Yarrowia lipolytica: one gene and its partner. The protein of the gene in region 1 interacts with the protein of each later gene in a pairwise test. Links are inferred from orthologs where the notes say so. Each region holds a gene or a part of one and is shown on either strand. Other genes may lie near its edges.

The links.
Region 2: the proteins of YALI1_B24424g (region 1) and YALI1_A09372g interact in a two-hybrid assay, tested with the Schizosaccharomyces pombe proteins (2 studies listed by BioGRID). The link is inferred for Yarrowia lipolytica from reciprocal best matches to the Schizosaccharomyces pombe genes cyr1 and gpa2.

What each region holds. Positions count from the first base shown.
Region 1 is NC_090771.1:2,437,835-2,445,915, forward strand, and holds the start of YALI1_B24424g (uncharacterized protein), read right to left. Parts: upstream 6,145-8,081; coding exon 6,095-6,144; intron 5,425-6,094; coding exon 4,595-5,424; intron 4,545-4,594; coding exon 1-4,544. Other genes in the region: YALI1_B24446g (uncharacterized protein), read left to right, coding at 6,822-6,863, 6,908-7,117. UniProt on the Schizosaccharomyces pombe protein: Acts in glucose-induced cAMP signaling by catalyzing the synthesis of the second messenger, cAMP to activate PKA signaling and repress sexual development and gluconeogenesis.
Region 2 is NC_090770.1:935,317-939,340, reverse strand, and holds YALI1_A09372g (uncharacterized protein), read right to left. Parts: upstream 2,128-4,024; coding exon 799-2,127; downstream 1-798. Other genes in the region: YALI1_A09397g (uncharacterized protein), read left to right, coding at 1-520. UniProt on the Schizosaccharomyces pombe protein: Alpha subunit of the heterotrimeric guanine nucleotide-binding protein (G protein) involved in glucose-induced cAMP signaling.

The DNA of each region.
Region 1 (8,081 bases):
GGCAGACACTCGGGCTGCCCGGTTGACCATGGGACCAAAGTAGTCCATTCGACGGGTAATGGGATCAGGCTCACATACAGGAGAACCCCAATGAATACCCATTCGAACAGACAGACCTCGGAAAACAACATTTCCTTCGTCATCTCGGACCTCGTAGCCCTCCTCTGATTCCAGAATCTCCGCAGGCCAGTCAGCGGCCAGAAGCTGCTGCTGGACAGAGAAACACCACAGGAGAGCAGATGTGGGCGTCGTGAATGACACCATGAATGCATCTCCTTCCGTCTTGACCTCGTAACCCCGCAGAATTCGCAGCTGACGTCGCATGATCGCGTTATGAATTTTAATGGCTGATCTCATGGCAATGGGATACGTCTCCCATAGCAGAGTGGAGTTCTTGATATCCGTGAAAACCATGGCCATCTCTCCTTCAGGCGGATCGACTTCAGAGCCTAGACGAGCGAGATTCGAGTCCTCAGGAAGAAGAGACTTGTCCCGTCGTTTTCGGTATGGCTGGAACAGCTCGTCTTCACCAACAGGAGGCAGACCGGAGATTAGGTTGGATTGGTTGGCTGTTCGTCGCTTCACTCCAATACCCAGCACCATCACCATGAGCTTGTCTGATGCGCCGTACGAGATGGCAAAGTCTCGCAGCTTAGCCGCAGCAAGCATGGGGTCCTGAGACTCTGTTCGAGCAATGTCGACGGCCGTCTCGTAGCTCATCACCTCCCACAGCTGCTTGGATCCGATAATCAGCAGCTCATCGGAATCGTTGAGCTCCATTGACACGATATCGGGCCGAGCCTGGATGTGGGGGATGAGATTGTAGAATCCAAAGGCTCGAGACACATCGCAGACACCGTCCAGCTTACCGTGAGCGGAAATGAATCCTCCTCCGGCTCGAACTCGGCCAAGCTCCTCGGGCTCGGTGGGGTCGTGTCGGGTGGTAAGCAGACGATGCTCTCCAGTGCCCTTAGACAGAATGCACATGGAGTCACCAACGTTGGCCACGTACAATTTGTTGTCGGAAATGTAGCAAACTGTGGCACAGGAGCCGGTGAGGCCATCCTGCTTGTTGAGGTGCGTGGTGGTACTACTTCGATGAGCAGTGTGCGACTCCACCGTGGTCAGAGCAGCGGCACCAATGTCTCTGTTGGCAGCCAGGAAAGACCGCTTGAGAGCATCTTCAATGGTGTCGTCGTCACGCATCTTCTTGAGCTCATCCTGGAGCAGGGCACCAAACATCTCTTGTAGCAACTTGGCAACCTTGTTGCCGGCCCGAGGGTTGATCTCGTTACGTCCATCAAACATACCAACAACAACCTCATTCTCATTGCCCCGGAAACGCTCCACAACCATGTCGATAATGGACAGGTTCTCGTGTTGGCCTAGAGAGTCAGCCATGCCATAGGGCATGTTGTTGAGCTCGGATCCGTACGTACGAACTCGACAGTTCTCCGTCTGATCAGGAACCGAGGGGGTGGTCAGGGTGACATCCATCAGACCGAGGACTCGGAGCTGAGAGAGAACGGTGAAATCAGAAAGATTCTTCTGTTCCGTCCCATCGCCATGCCGCATTAGGTTGTTGGCAGCAGACTTGATTTCCAGTCGCTTGTTGCCGCTGAAAGAGAGGTACTTGAGATCCAAATTCCAGTTCCAGTTCCAGTCATAAGGCCAGTTGGAAATATTGTACTTGAGCTGGTTGGACGAGACATCAAGCACAGTCAGATGCAGAATCTTACCCAGCTCGGCTGGCAGAGAGTGCAGCTTGTTGCCGTTGACATGGAGAGTTCGAAGAGTCTTGATGTTCTCGAAATCGTCAGCGGGAAGAGATGTCAGGTTGTTTCCAGACAGATACAGCTCTGTGAGCCGGTTGAGACGTCTGAGGGCTCCATAGGGAATATCCATCAGCTCGTTGTAACTCAAGTTGAGCACCTGCAACGAAGTCAACAGTGATAGCTCCTCAAAGCACTCGTCATTGAGCCGGTTGTCAGCCAGAGACAGAATCAACAGAGAGTTGGCGAGTGTAGTACGAGACGACACAGGAGCATCACGTGCAAAGGTCATGGGAGAAGTACTCATCTTGGGGCTGTTGTACGCCAGACTACCTCGTCTGCTGGTCTCCCCGGGGCTCAACGTCGAGGTGATGCTGAAGGCCGAAGGACGTCGGATTCGCATCTCGTAGTTGCTGTCGAACTCGCTCTCCAAGTTTCGGTGGAAAGCATCGCCTGAGGACACACTGGACACGTGGAATTTGTGCTTGGGGAACGAGTCGAGCAGATTGGATGACACGTTGAGAGTCGACAGGACGTTGAGGTTCCAAATCTCGTCGGGCAGCTTTCGCAAGTTGTTACTGTGCAGATCGAGGAACTGCAGAGTGGTCAGCTGGCCGATAGAAGAAGGAAGCACACTCAGATTGTTACCGACAGCGGACAGGTAGATCAGCTTTCGCAGAGAACCAAGAGAAGAGGGCAGAGATACGAAATGGTTTTTGTCCAGCACCAGCTTCTCGAGGTTAGGAAGTCGATCGAAGAAGTTTTCCGGCAGTGTAGACAGCTTGGCCTTGGAGAGATGCAACACGGTCAAAGTATGAAGGACATTGGACACATTGACCTCGGTGAAGGGGTTTCTGTCAAAGTAGAGACACTGCAGCGACTCGAAGTTGTGCTCGTAAGATGTAATCTGGTTCTTGGAAGCATAGAGCACTTCCAGAAGAGGCAGAGATGATAGAGCATCAACGTTGTTGAGCCGGTTGTATCGAACATCCAGTTCCTTCAGTTGCACCAGATTCTTGATGTCGTTGGGCAGCTTGCTGATGTAGTTGTTGTTCAGCACCAGTCGCTCCAAGTTGACCAGCTTGGAAATGCTGGCAGGAACACTGGACAGTCGGTTGAACGAGAGATCCAGCTCAATCAGGTTGGACAGGTTGCAAACGGCCATGGGGAAGTCCGTCACATTGTTGTTAGACAGAGACAGCCGTCGCAACTGCTTCAACAAGGCCACGTTGTTGTTGATTCGAGTCAGCTGATTGCAGCTGAGATCCAGTGTCGTCAATGCAGACATTCGCTCAAACCGAATCTGAGCCACGTCCTTGATCATGTTACGACTCATATCAAGATACTCCAGGAAGACTGCATGCGAGATGTTGACCGGAAAGAACCTCGATCGGTTTCCAGAGAACCGCAGATTCTTCAGGTTAATGCAGGATTGAATAAAATCAAGCGGAATGCTGATACTGGGATTGTTGGAGACATCCAGATACTCAATCTCGTTAGAGAACTGGTAGAAGATGATTGGAATAGTCTGCAACTCTAGGTTCTGGAGATCAGCATGCACATAATCACGGGACATGATGGCCTCTTCCTCAGGAGTGAAGGTCTGGATGGAAGAGGGCAGGAAAAGGAATCGGCACAGATAACTCAAATCTTCTCTTCCAACTTCAACCAGTCGATCCTTCTCGGTGTATCCCATGAACTCGAGTAGAATTTTCTGGTATAGCAGCGGCTTCTCCAGCAGATCGAGCACACGGGTCAAACCGCCAATGCGAACACACAGCTGGTACCCCTTGACAGACGGCAGGAAGAACTTCTTACCGAGAATCTGAATCAACTCAGAAACAGTGGTTTCCAGGGGACACACAATGGTTCCAAAAGAGTCATCCTGTCTGAAAATACGGACAAAGTAGTTGATTGGCGGCTTTCCTGGGATGTGTGTGCTCACGTTGGTTTCCAGTCCGTACTGCTCACGGGTGGGGTCAGCGTAAGTCTCTACTATCTCTTCAGGCTCCAGTTTCGAACCTCCGCCTGGACCAGTATCGGCGACTGCCCAAGATTCTGGCGCAGACCATTGGCCTGCATTCGTCTGGGGCGCAGTGTCATCATTTCCAATGAATGACAAATCGGTTCCTACGCCAATGACTGGAGCAGCCGTAGTGCCGGATGCATTAGCAGTGTTGACCACTGGAGTTGGAGATGCGACGCCAGACACAGAGTTGTGGTTGCTGTTGTTGGCGTTGTTGGCGTTGTTGGTGTTGTTGTTAGTACTGACGGATGAGCGGTCGCCCACCATGGGGCCACCCATGGGCCCAGAGATGCTGCCTCCGGGCAGAACAGGCATACCGGGAATGGAGTCGGCGGCCGCTGAGCCTGTTGAGGCGTGTCGGGGGAGAGCCGACGAGTTGGCAGAGCTCGAAGCGCCTCCGTCCTCGACAATGCCAGCCATGGAGTCCAGGTCAGTATCGAGATTGTAGAAGTTTGCATTGGCAAGAGAGGGTCGCTTGCTGATCATATTGAGCACCTGCTCTCGCGACGAGGAAGCCGTATGGTCACGAGACGACGAGGCCATGTGGTCACGCGACGAGGTCGACGAGTTTCTGTGCGGGTCCAGATGGGACACTGTGCTTGCTGAACGCATTGTGGGTTGTTGTTTTGGGGCATGGGGTTCCGGGACCGACGCCACAGATGCATTTCTGAACGGTTGTGCGTGGGACTCCAACGGGTTGATAGGTCCATCGAAGGTATGGCTTTTCTTCTTCTTGTCCTTGTGATCTGAGTTAGTGCTTGTGGATAATTTTGCGCCATTGGTTTCGGATACTCACGGAAAACCTTGCCAATAATGTTCTTGGAGCTCTTCTTGGCCTTGTGTGCCAAGGCAATGAGAGTGTCGTCTTCATCTCCACTAGGCAGAGTGGAGTGAGACGTGGCTCTGTGGATGCTATTGGAGTCGTCGAAATGGTTCGACGTGGCCGCCTTGTGGAAGATTCCGTGATCAGGTTTGTTGAACGACCGAGCAGCTCGAAGCTGGTGTCCATCACCTGGGTGAGACGTTCGCTCTGTGCGTTCACGGCTGTGCTCCGACCGGCTGTCGTCATCATCATGCTTTTTGAAGAAGAACATTGATTTGGACGGCCTCGGCAGCTTCACCTTGTGATGCTTCTTGGACGACGACGACTGACCATCGGAATCAGCGCTGGTGTCGTCAGACACAAACAGATCCATGACCTTTTGCGGGATACTCTTTTTGGAACCAGTGGAGCCGGTGGTACCCTGAGAGGCATAGGAGGGGCGTCTGTCGACGTTGGTGCTGATCGGAGTGACAGCACGCGACCCACCAGCTGAGGGTGTGTGCGTTCCTACTGGTGTGATGACAGTGGGTCGCTCTGGGGGAGGCCGTTGCCCTGGTGGAGGAGGTCCTGGAGCTGAGCGGGTCAGAGATGCATTTGCTCGAGCGTGAGGATCGAGGGTGGAGTAGAGAGGGTCATCGATTGACGAGTTGTTGTTGCCGTGGCCGGGTTCCCATTTCGGTGCAAACTCGTAGTCCGGATCGATGCCTGTGAATGCTGTTCGGGAGGTGGGGGATGGGGGGAGTTCATCATGATCGTAGGAGTTGGATGTGGGCGAAACTCCGTCGTTGGAGAATGCGTTGAGGCTGGGTTAGTAGGGAACTACTCGCCAAATTTCAGGAGTAAACAAGTGCTGTACCAATGTCAGAAGTTCTAGTGTCATCGAAGGATGGCTGAGAGATTGCCCCCGAGACAGTACTTCAGGGTAGGCAACGAATGAACAGAAAACAGCAGATGAGTAGCAAAAAGAATTTACCAGTAACTGTCAGCGACTACAGACACCAGCAGCCAGATTGGCATCAACACCACTCCGCCCTCATCGCCACTGGGGCCTGTAGCTGTGATGAGCCAAATACAGCAGAAGCGGCGTCAGAACAATGAGAAACAGCCGGCTGGTCGAAATACCTCCCACAGAATCAGTACCACTCCCTGTGAGACCAGTCAATCAAACAAAGGCACAGCTTTTGTCGTCGTTCAATGGCTTTTCTGCCTTCCCAGCAATTGCCACAGATGTGGCCCTAAACAGAGCCACAGGTCGGTTAACAAGCTAGTGACACGGACTGGAGCTGTGTCGAGCTGATCCGGTTCGTCTCGTTTAACACCTTGCAGTTGCTACGACCGTTCAATCGACACGTGTCTGGCCTGGTCTGCGGCTCTCTGGTTCGTTCATCTCTCTGTGGCACTATGATGCACGGGCTCAATTGTGTGGATAGCGCGCAAATCCGCCTGAGACACCGTCGGGTCCGTTGTACTCACCGGTTCCAACCCTCGCGAGGCTGGCTGTTGCCGATATCGAGTGGGTCCATTTGTGCGGACAAGTCGTATGCCGGTGACTATGTCGACATGCACGGAATGGGAGTAGTTAATTTGTTTTGCAGGCAACGAGTACCGTGAACCTTAATCTGAGCCTACGACTGTAGCGAGTGGGTTGAGAAGCGCCAGGAGTAATGGGGGGGAATTCACATGAAATCGAATAAAAGGATTGTAAAAGAAATAAAAAAGGGAGTGGATTTGGGCGAGAAAATATACTGTTTATTAATCCTCACTCTGCCTCGCGAAACGGGCCCCATAACTCCCACAAACCTGCACCGCCTACAAGGCACAAACGGTGCAGCTAACATGTGATGACAGGAGAAAAGATGATGTATAGAAGAGTCTATAAAAAGGAGTGCGTAAAAAAAATGACGGGGAAAAAAAAGCCTGTACAAGTGCTGTACAGTACTGTAAAAAGGGGCATGAGGGTGGGTGTCTTGTACCGTATTGTACACACAGTACAAGCACATTTATCATCCACATAAACGCCTCAGATAGATATCAGATCTTTCTATTGCAATATATATATATCTCATTTATGAACCTCGCCTAGTAGCTTGGAACCTACACGTGGCACACACTCACCAACAAACAACAAACGAAGGGTGTCTTGGTCTTGTTTTTTTTGTGAGTGGGTGACCAACAAGTCCATCCGTATCTCGTATCGAGTATGTGTGTGTGTGTGCATGTTGGGCAAGATGGGAGTGTGAAAGTTGCCAAAGTTGAGAGCATGCCTGGTTGGCCAAGAACAAGGAGGGCCATTGTAGGACTATAAAGGGCGGTGAATTAATCGACACAAAGACCGCTACTTGTAGGGCCTTGGTCGCGGCGCACGAAGATCCCGATTCGGCCTTGCTGCTGCTGCTTTTCTTACCCACAAAAAGAAACCCTGGAGAGAGAGAGATGTGTTTGTTTCGACTGTACCTCAACCTCAAGCTTCACACCTCAGACCTGAAAGGCTGCTAAAATTGAGACGGGAAACCGAAGGGTGGGGATGTGCAAGTAAGGGTCTTTTCTGCTGCAAATATGGGGGCGGCAGGCGATAATTTAAGAATCCGAGTGGGATAATATCTGGGTAAAAGGCTGCGGAAATGTCGCCAAAACCAGGACAAACCGGGGGATTATCCGCACAATTGTATACGCTCTGTAGACCCTGCTGGACGTGATCACATGGCCCAGGGCCGGGATCGTGGACAAGCGGAATATATGTAAGCACAGGGATTGACTTGGCACGTGTGGATCAAGAAAGCAACAAACGACAATCAGCGCGCATGACACTCTTGGTTCATCCGTAGGTCCTGTTCTAGACCCCAAGCTGTCTCAAAACGGACACGCTGTTTCACATTGAACGACAAAATCGCGTTCATGGTGATATTAACGAAAATTTGCGCGGCTATCAGCACTGTAGTACAAGTACGGTACGATACAGTACCGGTAAGCGGAACCAACGAGCCGTATTTATACTACAGTATGATTACTGTAGTGTTGTTGACTGTATTCAGACACTAAGGATACTAATTACTATTTGTAGTACATACAGCAGATGGATAAGACAGCCTAAAGTAAAGTACGAGTACGAGTACGAGGAAAGGAAGTCAGCTTCTATGTCTAGGTAGATGGAAAGAGGAACTATCTCTGTAAGACTTGAATGAGACATAAGAGGCAGTGAAGAATAAATCGTTGGGGTTCTTTTGTTACTTCTGTTGGCTTCTCACATGCCTCTACTTGTAGTATGTACATACTGTACGAGTAGGAGTATCGGAATATATGTACTGCAGTGACCTTCCCTTTATCTACCCCTACTGTTTAGAATCATTTGGAGGTGTTGAGGTGATTCTGTAGACTGTGCCTTGGGGATAGTTCTATTTTGGCTTCCTTCACATCCACTGGTTTCAAGTACAAATACGAGTCGACTGCTACGCTGGCTCCA
Region 2 (4,024 bases), on another chromosome or scaffold:
CCTACATGGAGCCCAATATGAGGGACGCAAGCGAAGTTTCTCCAAAGTGGACAACGGCCTTGAGCTATACATGGCTTCACATGAGATTAGTGACCAAATTGAAACGGAGTCATCACACTCTGAATCTCCTGAACAAATTGATGGAGGTGAGATCCGAAACAAGTTCATTCCAAGCGCTATTGGTCCCTTCAACCCTGTATTCGATACCTCGTCCCCTCGGATGCCGGTTTTTGAGACACCAACACTCACTCCGTTGACACCTCAACAGGCAGAAATGGAGAGTAAGCATATCCCACGACGACTAAATCGTGGAAGATCCCATCATGGATACGTTCCAGGAGCTGTTCATCCCTATTCTAGAGCTCCAATTGCTGGACAGACCCGAGAAAGATCACCCACACCCGATTTTGATACTGCCAGACCCCAAACAGATGCCCCGATAACGAAAGGGGAAACAAAGAACTGGTGGGACCAGTTTTTGTACACCTGGTGTTGCTGGCCCGAAGGTGACGACCTATGAAGAAGAAATGTGGGAAGAATGGGAAAAGTGAACGAATTCATCAAAATCCATAGCGCTGATACTTACTTCGAGAACCAATACATTTGTGATGTAATAAACCATTGTTCTACTGTTGAAAGGTTGTTTTTTCCAAGATCCGCGTAGCAAATTTGTGCTCTCTGCCTCCAGTTCACCTGGCTGTTATACATACGGTTCTACGTTACATCATCAATATATATATATATACAAATTAGTAATAATGGAAGTTATATAATGGTACTGTACAGTCAATGTCAACATCAAGTCAGGATACCGGCGTCCTGGAGAGCGTTCTGCAGGATGGTCTCTTTGATGGCAGCAAACACCAGTCGAATGTTGGAGGTGTCAGTGGCCTGAGTCAAATGAGGGTATATGTTGAGTCCAGCCCGGTTCATTTGGGTAAAACGCCACAAGATGTACTTGGCACCCTTGTTGATGTCGTTTCCGCCCATGTAATCAGGGAACTGGTTCTCTAGGGGCGAAAGAGGAAGTTTTTCGGTGAAGACATCAATCTTGTTCAGGAAGAGAACGACAGAAGTTCGTACAAACCAACGTGAGTTGATGATCGAGTCGAACAGAACCAACGATTCGTTCATTCTGTTCTCCTTCTTTTCCTCCAACAGAACCTGGTCGTACTCGGACAGAGCCACACAGAAGATGATCAAGGTGACATTCTCAAAGCAGTGAATCCATTTTTTTCGTTCTGACCGTTGTCCTCCCACATCGTACATGTGAATCAAATGCGAGCCCAGTCGGAATTTGGTCTCATAGATACCAGTAGTTTTTATTCGGGCTCGCAGAATATCGTCCTGAGTGGGTATGTACTGGGCTCCTCCGAGACGCTGTAGGTTGTGGAAAAAGTAGGGGCCCGAGTCCATCAGGTAGAACTGGTTTCGCAGACCCTTGAGAAGCTTCTCCTGCACGACCGCAGTCTTCCACAGTGCATCCAAAGCATCCACCAGCTCTGGGCTCAGGCTGGTGTTGTTATCATTGGGGTTGGGGGTGTCCAAGATGATCTGGAACTGCTCCACGCCTCCTCTACCACCTGTGTAGACTGGGTGCTCTGCCTCATTGACCTTGTCTTCCACAAAGTCAAAATCGTTGGCCTCCATGGCCTCTGTCTTGTTGCTGTGGCCAACCTCGGCAGCAAGCTCCTCCTGCAGTCCAAACTTATCAACGGCGGCCAGCAGAGCCCGACCGCAATCCAACAGGTTCTTATAGATGGTGCTCTTGAACAGATAGAGCTCGGAGTCTGTGTAGCCATTCTGGTGGATGATTTTCATCTGCTTGATGATGGTGGACTTTCCGGACTCTCCGGAACCCAGCAGAAGCGTCTTCACTTCCTTCTCTTCATCTGGCGTGTTGGCGGTGTCGTTAGTGGCGTCGTTTGCACCAGCTCTGGCCTTTGGTGCGCTGTTCGGGGTTGTAGTTGTGTTGTTGGCCGTGCTGGTTGCGTTTGCATTTGCGGTGGCGGCGGAATTCGTGTTTGCTGTCGAATTTGACGCCGTATTAGCTGGTTTCGCCTTCCCTGCCGTTGCGGAGGGTCCGCTAGGTCCAGGCTTGACCTCCTTCGAACTCGTGCATCCCATGGCGTCTTGTGGAGTGTCTTGCGTATTAGTGTGCGGCTGGCGTTATTTGTCGGGCGAATTAATGCGTGTGGGTGTATATGAAGCTCGTAGTGTCCGTATCACGTATCTGAAGATTGATCCAACCACCCCAATGACCTCCTTATCCTCGAGTGGTGATGTCAGGTAGGGAATAGTATTATGTACACAAAAGCAATCCCTATCTGTTTTGGTCCCAACGGAGCTTAATTGGACCACTCCCAAAAAAAGTGCACCTCAAAAACACAAAAAGCCAAAAATGAGGCCCCACTAAGTTTGGAATAGGGGCCCAAAACAACATATCAGCTTACAAATGATTTTCAAGTGAGTTTTGCAGAAGGAGACGAGGACATAAATCTGACCCCAAATAAGCCAAGAAATACCAACAACCCAAGAAAGCGGCAAAGACACGCATCCGCCTTTGCGTTTCGCGGACCTCGAACACGAACGACAGTGTTTTGCACAGCCCTATCGCGAGCCTCGTCCCATGTTTCGGAGATAGGAATGGAGAATTTAAGGTTGTAAGAAAACTCCACACAACCTCCGATACCTCGAGATTCTGAGCTTGGTAACTACATACATCCAAGCAAGGCGTGACTTTTGAACCCAGAATATCTGATTTCGTTGGTACCTAATCTCCTGAGGGTCATTTCCGGGGTCCGTGTCGGCGCCGTTATTATTTTTATACGCGAGTCTATTTCTAATATAGTCATTTATTATTACTTTGACACCACCAGCGCGCCAGTTGTACGCCCCATAGCGTGATAATGTCAGACAGACTAATTCTCACGCCCACATCATACCTGCCACCTCTTAAACACATAGATGTGAACAAGTAATTGCGAATACAGTACAGTACAGTACTTTATGATTAATGACTCTCTTGTAGAGGGGGACAACCGTGCCGTGTCATTGCATTTTCAAGTCATCCGTAACAAGGTTCCAAGTCACGAGAAACCATGCACACTCCATTAATCACGTGATTTGAAAAATTCCACCTGCATCCCCCATGTGCCTCGGTTATTGGTCAATATGGACAAGGGCAATATGGTGAATAGGGGCATGACAATGAGAAGTAAAGTGGTGGTGCTTAAACCACGTGACTACTCGATGTGTTTTTTTTCGTTATGGGGGGTTTTCTGCTGTCTAAAATCTCCGGTCTTGGGCGGAAAAACTTCAACTGTACAAGGGACATTGGTGAGTCCGGGCAGAATGAATGGTTCGTTGTCTTTTACTGCCGGATGGACGGTTGTTGCCAAGAGATTACAATTGCACCTATACATACCTGCGGCTCATTGTATGTGCAGTATGTACTACAGGTAGTGGCTGGAGTTGTGGCTCAATCGTGAAGGTCTTTTGATGTCATTTTGCAGGTGCTTGTAGCTGTGAATCAGTAACTCGAAGTTTCACCCGTTTCTCCAATCAATGATGAAAGTGAGAGAGTAATGGCACTCTTACACCTTGCTGCATGTAGTGTATCTTGAGTGAAGGCAGTTACACAGGACAGCGTAGACAGTCCAACTCTTGCCTGGCCTGTGTCCTTCTGCATAACAAGTGGTACGCTGATTGGCGCAGTCTTTCTTTCTTCTACTTATGGTACGAGTACGAATACGGCGGCATCTGTTTGTGCATGCACTTGGACCCTACAGAACAGACATGGATGGTAGCAGCAGTTAGAGCGAGAGAGAGAGAGAGAGAGAGGGAGAGAGATGGACAATAGATTGGTACAGTAGCTACTGGGAGAGGTGTAGAACACAGGCCAGAAAAACGTACATTCCATGCAAAGTGGAATCGAGGCTGAACAAGTTACCTATTGGTCCCTTGTATGTATAAGTACCTTTTGGAACCAAAAATCACATTCGTATCTGTTTTTGCCGAGCAG